Macaca mulatta: one gene and its partner. The protein of the gene in region 1 purifies or fractionates together with the protein of each later gene. This does not show direct contact. Links are inferred from orthologs where the notes say so. Each region holds a gene or a part of one and is shown on either strand. Other genes may lie near its edges.

Region 1 (6,532 bases):
TCTCCTAGTTTCTAGTGACTGCTGGCAACACTTGGTCTTCCTGGGCTTGTAGATGCATCATTCCAATCTCCACTTCCATCTTCACATGGCATTCACAGGGCCATCTTCTCATAAGAACAGCAGTCATGTTGGATTAGTCCCTGCCCCAGTCCAGCGTGTCCTCATTTTAATTAGTTACATCTACAATGGCCTTATTTGGAAAAATAAGGTACTGGGGATTAGGACTTCAACAAATTTGTTTTGAGGGATGCAATTCAATCATAACATCTCAGTAAGGTGAATAAGCCCTACAGTTGAGGAAATTATTTCCTCCTGATTTTGCAGAAAAAGTTGATGTAATTTCTTGTTAGATTCGTAAGTTGATGTAATTTGTTGTTAGATTCGTAAGTTCCCCAGAAACTGCCAAGGTACCTAGACTTCCTATGAGAAAATTTCTTTTCTTTTTCTTTTCTTTTTTTTTTTTTTGAGACAAGGTCTGGCTCTGTCCCCCAGGCCGGAGTGTGGTGACACGATCTCCACTCACTGCAACCTCTACCTCGCGGGCTCAGGTGATTCTCCCACCTCAGCCTCTTCAGTAGTTGGGATAACAGGCATGCTCCACCACACCCGGCTAATTTTTTAGTAGAGACGGGGTTTCGCCATGTTGCCCAGGATGGTCTGGAACTCGAGAGCTCAAGGGATCAGCCCGTCTCGGCCTCCCAAAGTGCTGGAATTACAGACTCGAGCCACTGCTCCCAACCAGCACATTTTATTAATACTTATGATTCCCCCACATCCCCACTGCCTTCCAGACACAAAACAATCAATCCATTGCTGCCTCATAAAAACACAAACTCATCACCTTTCCCTCCCTCCTGGAATTCCCCGTTTTTCACAAAACTGGCTCCCCATCTTCCAGAAAGAATCCGTTTCTTTCCACTCTCCTTACATCTCCCAGGTTCAATTCCCTACGGTTGGCCGGGCGCAGTGGCTCACGCCTGTAATCCCAGCACTTTGGGAGGCCGACGTGGGCGGATCACCTGAGGTCAGGAGGTCAAGACCAAACTGGCCAACATGGTGAAACCCGTCTCTACCAAAAATACAAAAATTAGCCGGGCGTGGTGGCGCGCGCCTGTAATCCCAGCTACTCGGGAGGCTGAGGCACGAGAATCGCTTGAAATCGGGAGGCGGAGGTTGCAGCGAGATCGCACCACTGCACTCCAGCCTGGGCGACAGAGCAAGACTGTCCAAAAAAAAAAAAAAAAAAGAAAGAAAAAAATCCTTACGGTTGCCTCTCCCCTGGGAAGAGGAGAGGCAACTTCTCTTTGCTGCCAGGCTCTTCACCTCCAATCCAGCCTCACATTCGGTATACAGTATATGGCCAATTTTCTAGAAACACATCTCCAGTCTGACTCTGCAAATCATAAACCTCGGGGACTTCAGGCATTTTCCTCCCTGGTGGAGTATTCAACTGCTCCACCCAGCATTCAAGGACAAACTCAATTCGGCGCCACATTCATCTCCCTTTATCCCTTCTAAGTGGAATACCGCTCCAGCGCCAACGCAATCTCCTCCTCCCTCGCCCTTCCCTAATCCCTTGCCTGCCCTGTTTCCCTGTTGAGCTCCTGAAACACTTCGCATCTCTCCCCGTTATTCCAGTCTATCTGGTGAAAAGGTTATTTGAGGACCTTGTCTACGCTGCCCCCACCAGATCCCGCTCCCGGCGCCACAGGCTGGGCCCCAACAGGAGCTCCTCAATCTAAGTGTCTACGAGAAACCCAGGGAGTCTCCACGAAGGAGGGACTTTGCCCACTAGAGACTAACACTGGCCTCCGAATTGCCTTCCTGGAGATTCGGCCTAGCGGCTCTCAGGAGTCGGGAGGGGCAAGAACGTCTCCCCGGTGCAGTGGAAGAAGACTGCCGGCCAGCCCGGGACTCGGAATCCGGGGCCAGGGCCTCGGCAGGCGCCCGCTCGGAAGCCGGCAGCGCAGACGCAGACAACCCACTGCTCAGCGGGACACATCTCCGGCCTTGCGCCGGAACGCCGCTTGGACAACAACCTTTCCGCCGAGTGCAGGCCGAGCGCTTTTGGGCGCAGCACGCAGGAACCGGAAGTCAATGGAGGAAGACCAGACCTACTGACTCAATTTGGAGATGAGCGGCCCTACCCTCTTCATGGCGGGAGGTAGGGTGCTTGGCACACTGGGGTAGTTTCCTGTCTGTCACTAGCCTCTGACCCTAGAGGCTAATGGAATAGGGCTGGAGGTATTCTGGAGGAACCTGGAGTGTTTCCTTCCTCATGTCCCTCATGTCCCTTGTTCAGGCCCCTCTCTTGGAGCCCCAGCCTAGTTGACGGGGCGGTTTTCGGAACATTTGTGCTTCCCTGGCCTCAGGTTCCACAGGTGGCTCCTCAGAGTGGGCGGATGGTTCAGATTCTCACAGCCGCTTGCTTACCTCTGGCCGCATTACTTTCCTGTGGCTGCGATGTTAGAGTGACTTCCCACTGGTTTTACAAAGTTATGCATTGTATGGTGTTTCTCATACTTGCAAAAACGTCATGGTAGAAATCTTGAAAAGTGTACGGAAGAAAATAAAACTGCCCTTAAATCTACCACTTAGCTGAAACATTTCTTTTTTTTTTTTTTTTTTTTTTTTTTTTTTTTTTTTTTTGAGACGGAGTCTCACGCTGTTGCCCAGGCTGGAGTGCAGTGGCGCGATCTCGGCTCACTGCAAGCTCCGCCTCCTGGGTTCACGCCATTCTCCTGCCTCAGCCTCCTGAGTAGCTAGGACTACAGGCGCCCGCCACCGCGCCCGGCTAATTTTTTGTATTTTTAGTAGAGACGGGGTTTCACTGTGGTCTCGATCTCCTGACCTTGTGATCCGCCCGCCTCGGCCTCCCAAAGTGCTGGGATTACAGGCTTGAGCCACCGCGCCCGGCGAAACATTTCTTATAAACGTATAAAATTTAATTTTATTCAGTTCCACCAGATGAGATACTAAAATGTGAAAATGGAAGTGAAGAGAAACCTTTTTTTTTTTTTTTTTTTTGAAACGAGTTACACTCATGTTGCCCAAACTGGAATGCAATGGTGTGATCTGGGCTCACCGCAACCTCCGCCTTCCGGGTTAAAGCGATTCTCCTGCCTCAGCCTCCTGAAGGTAGCTGGGATTACAGGCATACGCCACCACGCCCGGCTAATTTTGTATGTTTAGTAGAGTCAGGGTTTCTCCATATTGGTCAGGCTGGTCTCGAACTCCCGACCTCAGGTGATCCTCCCACCTCGGCTCCAAAAGTGCCAGGATTATAGGCGTGAGCCACTACGCCCGGCCTAAGACAAACCTTAACAGGAAATATTAGTTACAAAAAGATTCCTCTAAATTAAAAATATCAAAAACGTTAAGCAGTTGGAATAATTATTTCAACTACCTTCTTCCTAATGGGTGTAAAATACAGTTTTCTAGGTAGTAAAACTTTGGACTGACCCATAAAAATCGGAAGACATCTCTTGAAACAACAAAAGCTGTATTTAAAACTCTATGTAATATAGTTTAAAAACTAATCCTCTTTTAAAGATGATTCTCCAGGACAATTTAATATTGTCCTCTACTAGTTCTTAAATTCCGGGAAAGTATTTGTGACTTTGCAAAGGATCTAGTCAAGCTTGCAACTAACACTAAAGGAAGTAGGACATCCAACTTACATTTTGCTACATTTTCCTTTTAGAGAGGTGGAGATGCTTTCTGGCCCCGTCGAGGTCATCCCTGTTCCGGGTCTTACATAATTCCTGCTGTCGGAAAAAATCCACTACACCTAAGAAAATTACTCCCAATGTTACATTTTGTGATGAAAATGCAAAGGAGCCTGAAAATGCACTTGACAAGCTCTTCTCTTCAGAACAGCAGGCTTCCATCTTGCATGTGTTGAATACAGCATCTACTAAAGAACTTGAAGCTTTCAGATTGCTTCGTGGAAGAAGGTCCATCAATATCGTAAAGCACAGAGAAAACTTTGGGCGATTTCAGAATTTAGAGAGTTTAATGAATGTGCCCTTGTTTAAGTATAAAAGTACAGTTCAAGTTTGTAACTCCATACTTTGTCCAAAGACTGGAGGGGAAAAAAGAAAGTTACTGGAAAACCGGTTCCTGAGAAAGCTCCTCAAACCAGACATAGAAAGAGAAAGACTTAAGGTATATTCTTCATGTCTGCTATACTGCCTAATATTTGAGAACCTACTCTGGAAAGCAGTCTTCTGGGCATTGGGTTGGGAAGTGGCTAAGACAAGGTTCTTCAGGTTTAGTTGGCAAGTATATGGTCACTACCAAATAATGAGATGTACAGATAGTAAATTGGCAGTTGAGAGGAGAGAAAACAATGGGCTGTGACTGTTGTGGAAAGTTTACTGGAAAAACTCAATTTAGATCTTAAAGGAGAGATCCTTTGGCTGGGAGAGGAGGGGATTCTAGGTAGAAAGAACAGTTAGTGTTGAGAAGCAGGTCTAGGCAAGGCTTATTTAAGAGGAGTGTCATTGGAGATACTAGGCTGTGTCTAAGGGTGATGTTGGGATTAATGAGAAATTAAGGAGCAAAGATGGGTTATGGCCTTTCTAAAAGCACTTCTTTTTCCATTATCTTAAAAAAATAAGTACTACAAATATTTGACACAGTTTTTTTTTTGTTTTTTTTTTTTTTTGAGACGGAGTCTTGCGCTGTCACTAGGCTGGAGTACAGTGGCACGATCTTGGCTCACGACAACCTCCACCTCCCAGGAACAAGCGATTCTCCTGCCTCAGCCTCCTGAGTAGCTGGGACTACAGGCACACGCCCCCACACCCAGCTAATTTTTGTATTTTTAGTAGAGACGGGGTTTCACCACGTTGGCCAGGATGGTCTCGATCTGTTGACCTCGTGATTCACCCACCTCGGGCTCCCAAAGTGCTGGGATTACAGGTGTGAGCCACTACGCCTGGACACAGCATTCAAATATTAAACTTTAGAGGAACTCATGTCCTGTGTAACATTGCTTGATAATCATTATCTCATAAAAATCATAAGCACCATTTTTTTCTAGACCAGTGGCTCCCAGGTTTTTGAGGAATATGGGTACTTTTGAAAACCTGATGAAAGCTGTGGACCCTTTTCCTGTAGAAAAAGATATAGCACATATACACAGAATACTGCAGTTTCAGAGGACTGGCAGATTCTGTTAAGTCCGCTCATGGACTCCAGGTAGAACTGCTGCAATTGATCTGGAACATATTTCAACCAAACTTTTCAGGGAGGATTCTTATCCAAATTCATGGCCAAAACTATTTATATCCAGATTATAGTGCAGTTGCATCTTATTTAGGGGGCTGGATTCTAAAGTCAGTTTTTATGGAGACATAAGTCATGCAGTAAAATCCTTTAAGAGAAAATCGATTGCCCACAAAGTATTGTGTGTAGTCTGGTTTAGTAATGCTTACGCACACTAAAGCTTGAGAGTCACTGAGCTAAAGAAAAGAACCAATAGGAGGTCTGTATTTTGGGCATCTATACTATTTTGTCTTTAAGACATTTATCCAGTTCTTAGCAATGAAAGGGAGATGGGAATAGAACTAATTGTTCCTGTTTATTTGCCTCTGTATCTATAGAACATATTAGTTTGTTAATATAACTAAGTGAGCCATGTTGGGGAAAGGTAATAGCATTGTACTTCATTGTCAGCCCATACTTGATAGGAAGCAAAATCTAGATATTCAATTACTTATATATCTCCTTGTAGAAGCCCTATAGGCAACCCAAACTTAATACATTAAAAACAAACCAAAACAAAACAAAAAAATTTCTTCCCACCTTCCCTAGGGTCATCTTCATCATTAATGATGCCATTCAGTCACTGATATAAAACTGGAATTCTTAGACTCCTCATTAAACCTATGTATTAATTCTGTTCCCACTATCTCTGTTTCTTTTCCTTCTGTCATTGTCTTCAATTCTTAATACTTTCTCATGTTATAACAGGTACCTAACACAGATCCCTACCTTTAGTGCCCTCCAGCCCATCTTTTACACCATGAGTGATTTTTCTGAAATGTAAATCTTATGTTATTCCTTAACATTCTGTTTTTTTAGTGGCCCCTGTAGCACTCAGGATAAAGCAGGTTACTTACGTTTAGACACCTGCCTAGTCCTCTGCCCTTTTCCTATTCAGTCTTTATTGTACTGCCAGAGTTTGAGATGTCAAACAGCCTATCTTTCCTGGGTGAAATATCTGGGTGAAATAACTTCCCGTGCACCATCTCATTCTCCTAGTTCTCCAGCAAACCTTCCCTGATCACTTCTCTCTACAATAGTTTTATGGTGGCATTTCTTATAATGTACAGTTACGTTTGTTTCCTAGTATCTAGTGCAGACCCTGGCTACACTTGAGTTTGAATGCCTACTTTGGGCTAGGTGTTGAGATGAGTATAGGTTCTTTATCTATAAACTGCTGTTCGTTACCTTTTAATAATAATTACTCCTCAGTGGCTCACCCCCATAATCCCAGCACTTTGGGAGGCAGAGGCGGATGGAT
Region 2 (6,702 bases), on another chromosome or scaffold:
AATACCTTCAAGCTGATAAGAACATTCACAGTGACTTACAAAATGGACAATATTCCAATGCTACACAAAACAGTTTTATAATACACAGCTTAAAGTTTTAAAGTTCTTGGCTGGCACTTGATTTTTTTTTATAGCTGATAGACATGATAACTACTGATCTGAATAAAATACCATTTTTAGCTTATATATATGTTCTAAACCATATTACCTCACAAAACAGTAAAGAATAAATCACTTTCTGATGGAGAATCCTCTAGGACAAACACCAAACCTATACAGCCAAAATATTTTAGGGAGGCAAATAAACATTTTAAGACAAGTCATGACCAGTGGATAAAAATTTGCATTACCCAATTATATGTCTAGGAATTGTTCTTCTGCGTCAATAAAGCATGTATTGGGCATAGATTAAAAATACAAACGTAAAAAGCAAGTTACCTTTTTTTTTGGTTTAGAAGGGTGTTTAATTCATGACATTACTAGAATGGGTGTTTTTTGGGAAAGAAAATTGGTCACATATACCAAATACACATTTTATATTCCAAAATAAAAACAGATTTATTTTAAAACAGTGGAATCCTTATTTTTATTTACTTATTTTTTACTTTCTGTGAGCTTGTGAGGCCATTCTGCACATTTATCAAAATGAAATCATTATTCAGTAACCTTTTTATATATATATATATATATATATATGCAATTTTTTTTCCTTTGTAGAAAACCAAAATAATTTTACAAACTATATTTAACTTAGAATATAAAGAACTGACTAGTGTAAAATTTTGAAAATCTACCACTTTATTTTGAAGGAAAGTATACATCCTTCAAAACTCCACCAACAATTCCTAGTCCAGTTTTCTATTGTACAGATTAAAAAGTTAAATTCCTTGTGGCACTAACCAAAACTTAAAAATTAACAGAAGACTGAATTAATTAAAAAAAAAAAAGCATACTAACTAATCAAAACAATCCACTGTGCAATGAATATTTGAACAATGAAAAAAACCTACCAAGCATCCCAGTCAATTACATAGTTCTTGCTTCCATATTTTAATTTTGGACTTTCAGGAAGGTATATTATTAAACAGGTCGATTTTGTGGACTGTTTAAACCTTGTAGTATTTCAAAATATTACCCTTTCTAAACCAAATCTGTGGTCCTGGTCAACTTTTTTTTTTTCAAGAAAAAGAAAGGATATGTGTTTAAAATACATTCCGTAGCAGTAGAAACATCTTAGTGTCTCAAAATCTATTTACAAAGAACCCTGCTGATCCTGTGCATTTCGCTGAGGTGCTACTTGCACCCAGACTTCATCATCTGAAAAAGAACTTGAACTTCCTGACTCAGAGTCCAGCTCACTGAATCCATCTAAGTCCCATTCAGTACTAGACTCACTCCGTGCATCATCTTCCTCAGTAATAAAACTCTGACCAGGTTCAAGGCAGGAAGGATAAACACGGGCACAAAGGCAAATAAAGCCAGAGTCAAACTGCAAAAGGCCTAACATAGTACCTATATTAATCCACTGATCTTCCCTAGTATCATACTCATACACTGTTACTCGGTTCTTTTTCCATTGTGGGGTTGTAGAAGTGATGAGAAGCAACTTTCGGTCATGATTGACAATCTGGTAGTTGTGGGTCTCTGAATCCAAAGGAATATTACTAATCCGCCTCCATTCTCCCCTAGCTGGGTTGTAGACCTTCATGACTGGGATGTCACAGATACAATAGATTTCATCATTGAAAACACATGCTTCCTGAAAGTCACTGCGTTTAAGAGAAGCACAGTTCAGCCACATATTGTGGCTAGGATCATAGCAGAGCATGCGCTTACTGTTGACAGCATAAAGATAGTTCTGAACCACTATGAGTTCAAAGGAATAGAAGGAATGAGGGACAGGAGCCACCAATGCCCACTGGTTTCTCTGAACACTGTAGCATTCCACTTCCTTCAACTTAACTCCAGTAATAGGGTCTCGCCCCCCCAAAATGTAGATGTAGCCATTGAGATATGCCACATCCATGCCCTCACGACACAGCAAGCGATCTGCAAGTTGCTGCCAACTATTCTGAGCTGGTTTATACACCCAGAGGTCTTTCCTTGGCTGGGCAGCTAGATAGATGTCATGGTCTGGGGAGACACAGACAGCTGAGGAGGTAACAGTCTTAGTGTGAGCAAAGCTGGTCAAAGGTGATGGCATTGTGTAAATGTCCCCTGAGTAAGGGTCATAGCAGAGAAAGGGATCTCTGGGGTGTCCAAAGAAGATCACCATCTCCTTGGCACACATACCCAGTCTCTGGGGTGGATTTTCTGCTGCAGATACAAGAGAGTTGCTGCTGCTACTGCTGCTGCTGCTGCTGTTTGGCACTGGCACCAGAGACTTGTACAACAGGTCACCATAGCGCATCTGCAGGGCCCCTTCAATAACGTCCAGGCAGTACTTCTTCACAATGGGCTTGGTCAGCAGCCCTTCTAAGTAGTCCTGATCTTCTTCAGTGAAGTGCATCCAGCGCACGCACTTGAAGACTTCCGCAGCACTGGGACCCCGCTCCTTGGGAGCAGCCTCCAGCCACTGCACAGCTACATGGCATACAGTCCGCTCACTCTCTATGTCCAGACTATCCAAGCGCAGGACAGCCAGCAGCTGGGCCAGGGTCAGATCTGCTAGAGTCTCTTCCCGAATTGAACCCATTCGGCTGAGCTGCTTGAAGTTCTGAGCTATATAGGACTGGGCCTGAGATCGAAGCTTGTGATGGTCGAAGGCGTCTGCAAACTTGAGGATGGCGGTGCAGTTGGTCAGGTCAAGACGTCGGGCTAAGAAGGAGGCACAGGCTTCCCGCACATACTCCAGTTGCAGCATGTCGGAGGCTGCGTACAGGCGCTGCACATTGGCCTCGCTGAGAGACACACGACCCGTGTAGCAGTAGTCGACCAACACCTCGAAGGACTCGGCGTCCACATCGTGCATGGTCACGCTGGCCTGCTGGCTCTCGTACATGCCACCTGTGAACATGCTCTTGAAGTAGGGACACGCAGCTGCTAGCACGTTGCGATTGCAGGAAAAGAGGCGACCCGTGCCAGGCCCGCTGCCAGGCGTCACCACCTCGATGGTCACATCACACAGCAGCCGCGCGTCGTAGAAAGACTTGAGCTGTGCCAGCAGGGCTGCAGAATGGGCCGTGTCCTTTAATTCCTCTGGACCCGTGAAAAAGGCCGAAACCGAGGGCTTGGAAATCCTCTTGGGCCGCCTCCCACCGCGGGGGCTGGCGAGGCGGCGAGAGCGCGGGGCGTCTTCCCGGGACTGCATGGTGGAGATGGCGACGGGCGCTGATAGCGAGAAAGGCTGCCGGACCCGGCTCTGGCTCCTCCTCAACCTTCCCTCGCAGACGCTAAGACAAGCCGCGTCCTGGAACAGACTGCGGCACGGGCCGCACTTCTGAATTCAGCCCTAGCCCGCGGTGAGGCCTCCCTTTATTGCGTAGACAGTGGCTGACTCACCCTCTCTCACTCCCGCGCCCTTTCTCCGCCTCCGCTCGCCCTCACAGGACCCGCTGGCTTGGAGCCGCGGAAGGCCCCACTGCCGCGCTGGCGATCCCGCTAGGCGCCCAGGAGAACTACCGCTTCCAGGTTGCCTTTCGCGCCCCGAGGCCTGCTGGGGCTCTCGGACGGCCGGGCGGGGACAGAGGGAAAGAAACCGCTTTGCATGTTGGGAGTAGTAGTTTGTGTAATATCGCGAGCTTTCCTTTCGCTGACTGCCCTAACAGTAGAAATTAATTCTGGATATGATGGTGAAGTGACGATGTCTCACTATTGTTGTCCAGGCTGGTCTTGAACTCCTGAGGGCTCAAATTATCCTCCTGCCTCTGCCTCTCAAAGTGCTGGGATTACAGGCGTGAGCCACCGGGCCCTGCCAGTATTTCATAGGGTTTTGTGTGATTGAATGATACGTTACATAGGATACTTAGATACATATATTTTTTTGGTTAGAAGAACAATAAAGCGTTACCCCGTGCCTAGAATGTAGCCAATAATTGTTAGATTCTCTTTTATAATTTATGATAAATGAGGCACCCACTAATTTGAAACCAAAAAATTTTTAAAATTTTAAAAATTATTTTAAACCGCAAAATTTTACAAAGAACTTAGTTTTTAATTTTTATTCTTTTGAAAGATTTTGAAGGGCATTAACTATTTTCAATGTTAAATGGTACGTATTGGCCTTGTTTAATAAGGATGTCTTAGACGACTAGGTTGAGGTCCTAAAGAACGGTGTTAATAGATGGCCTCAAATATGCAAATCGGGCATATAAAAATAGATTATTTGCTACTCTCACTAACATTTCATCTCTGGGGAGCAGGAATATTTTCATTAAGCTCCAAATATGAGTGTTTTCAAGTCGTCTAATACAGCCTCTTTCACTGCCATTCCACATATCAATTAACAGATTCTGTAATTGCCTTTATTAAGGAGTTTTAGGGAGTATTTAACTCAAAATATTTCAAGAAACAGACTTTGTTCTGTACAAAAGCACGTGATTCTCAGAATTCAGCATTAGTACATGCCCTGACATTCCTTGAATTAACATACAGTATAGCCTATGCTTTACAAAAGTCTTTTATATTTGCATTGATCAACAGTTAAATCATCAAAATCAAGTATTAGAGATTTGAGGCAGGAAAATAGGGTCTGGAGGCAGGGAACATAAGGCCGATTCACACTTTAGCTATAACAAGAAATATCCTCTCCATAGGGTGTATGCCGAGTAAATGAGTTTGTAACTTTAATTCATTCTCTTCGTTTACATAGGGTATACACCAAGTAACCAGTGAATCCTCTAGAGGGTATTTAAACCTCCAGGAATTCTGTAACAGGGCCCTTGAGCCCTGTGCTGGGCCTGCGCCCACACTGGAGTGTACTTTCATTTTCAGTACATCTCTGATTTTGTTGTTTCATTCTTTCCTTGCTTTGTTTATGTGTTTCTTCCAATTCTTTGTCCAAAACGCCAAGAACCTGGACACCCTCCACTGGTAACAGATTGACTTTTTCAGATAACTTTTATTACAAAACCAGTGACTGCTCCTGCTGCTAGTTTATATTACCATAACCCAATAAAGAAAATCATCAGTATTATATGCATGTATGGATAACACATTACAAGAGAAAAACTTTCAAATTGTTTTTCTGTTATCAGCTGAAGTCCACTGGAAATCCTCTAGGGTAGACACATTAAATTAAGTCAGCCTCTGGGCTCCAATATCTCCTCTGTAAATAAAAAGAGATGTTAGACATCCCTCAGATACACCAGAGGGAATTAAGTCAGTCATTATTAGTAACAATGATTGTTTTCTCACTTGCAGTGAACAACCAGCTAGGGAAAAAAGCCTTTTTTCTTTTCTTTTCTTTTCTTTTTTTTTTTTTTTTGAGATGGGGTCTCACCCTGTCACCCAGGTTGGAGTGCAGTGGCACCATAATAGCTCACTGCAGCCTCGAACTCCAGGGCTCAAGCAATACTTCGGCTTCAGCCTCCCAAGTAGCTAGGACTGTAGATGCATGCCACCATACCCAGTTAATGTTTTAAAAAAAATTATAGATGGGGTCTCACTATCCTGCCAGCCTAGTCTGGCACTCTTCCTGCCTGAGCCTCTAAGTTGCTGCAATTACAGGCATGAGTCACATGACCAGCACAGGAATGGCCATTTTAAAAAACTTCTTAGAATGTTGGTAAAATACACATAACACTAAATTTAACCATTTAAAATTTTTCAGTGTATAGTTCTTTAGCATTAAATATATTCACACGGTTTTGCAACTATCACAAAACTGAAGCTCTGTACCCATTAAACAATAACTCTCTAGTCCCCCACTTCTGGCAACTGCCATTCTACTCTTTGTCTCTATGAATTTGACTACTCTAGGTACCTCATATAGGCAGTGACTGATTTTTACCTTCCTTATATCTCCTCTTACTGCGTTATTTGCCTTAGGTTACCTGTCACACAATTGAAAATATCTATTAGCCACTATTCCCTAAGGTCTAGATCTATGTGCTGTCCCATAAAACTTGGAAATATTTTATATCTGTGCTGGCTGATACAGTAGCCAGAAGCCACATGTAGCTCTTGAGTACGTGAAATGTGGCTAGTGCAACTGAGGAATTAAATTTAAAATTTTAGAAATACAGCATGATATACCATTGCAATTCAATGAAGAAAGAAAATTCTTTTCAACAAACGTTATTGGAACAACTGGATCAAGAATGTAAGACAAAAAGTTGCCCTTGCCCCTACCTTACACCATAAGCAAAAGATTAATTCAAAATTTCTCTTAATACTAAATGGAAAAGTGGAAACTATAAAGCTTCAAAAAGAAAACATAGGGCCAGGCGCGGTGTGATCCCAGCACTTTGGGAGGCCGAGGTGGGAGGATCACGAGGTCAGCAGATTGAGACCATCCTGGCTAACACAGTGAAACCCCGTCTCTACTAAAAATTCAAAATAATTAGCCGGGCGTGGTGGTGGGCACCTGTAGCCCCAGCTACTTGGCAGGAGAATGGCGTGAACCTGGGAGGCGGAGCTTGCAGTGAGCCGAGATGGTGCCACTGCACTCCAGCCTGGGCGACCGAGTGAGACTCTGTCTCAAAAAAAAAAAAAAAAGAAAAGAAAACATAGAAGACTATGGAAGACTATAGCTTTGCGGTT

Evidence for each region.
Region 2: the proteins of TEFM (region 1) and KBTBD7 purify together in Homo sapiens (co-immunoprecipitation; 5 studies listed by BioGRID and IntAct, counting the BioPlex papers as one, with this or other methods). This does not show direct contact. The link is inferred for Macaca mulatta from reciprocal best matches to the Homo sapiens genes TEFM and KBTBD7.

What each region holds. Positions count from the first base shown.
Region 1 is NC_133421.1:41,585,475-41,592,006, reverse strand, and holds the start of TEFM (transcription elongation factor, mitochondrial), read left to right. Parts: upstream 1-2,091; 5' UTR 2,092-2,133; coding exon 2,134-2,164; intron 2,165-3,703; coding exon 3,704-4,167; intron 4,168-6,532. UniProt on the Homo sapiens protein: Transcription elongation factor which increases mitochondrial RNA polymerase processivity. Regulates transcription of the mitochondrial genome, including genes important for the oxidative phosphorylation machinery.
Region 2 is NC_133422.1:20,613,331-20,620,032, forward strand, and holds the start of KBTBD7 (kelch repeat and BTB domain-containing protein 7), read right to left. Parts: upstream 3,620-6,702; 5' UTR 3,311-3,619; coding exon 1,253-3,310; 3' UTR 1-1,252. UniProt on the Homo sapiens protein: As part of the CUL3(KBTBD6/7) E3 ubiquitin ligase complex functions as a substrate adapter for the RAC1 guanine exchange factor (GEF) TIAM1, mediating its 'Lys-48' ubiquitination and proteasomal degradation.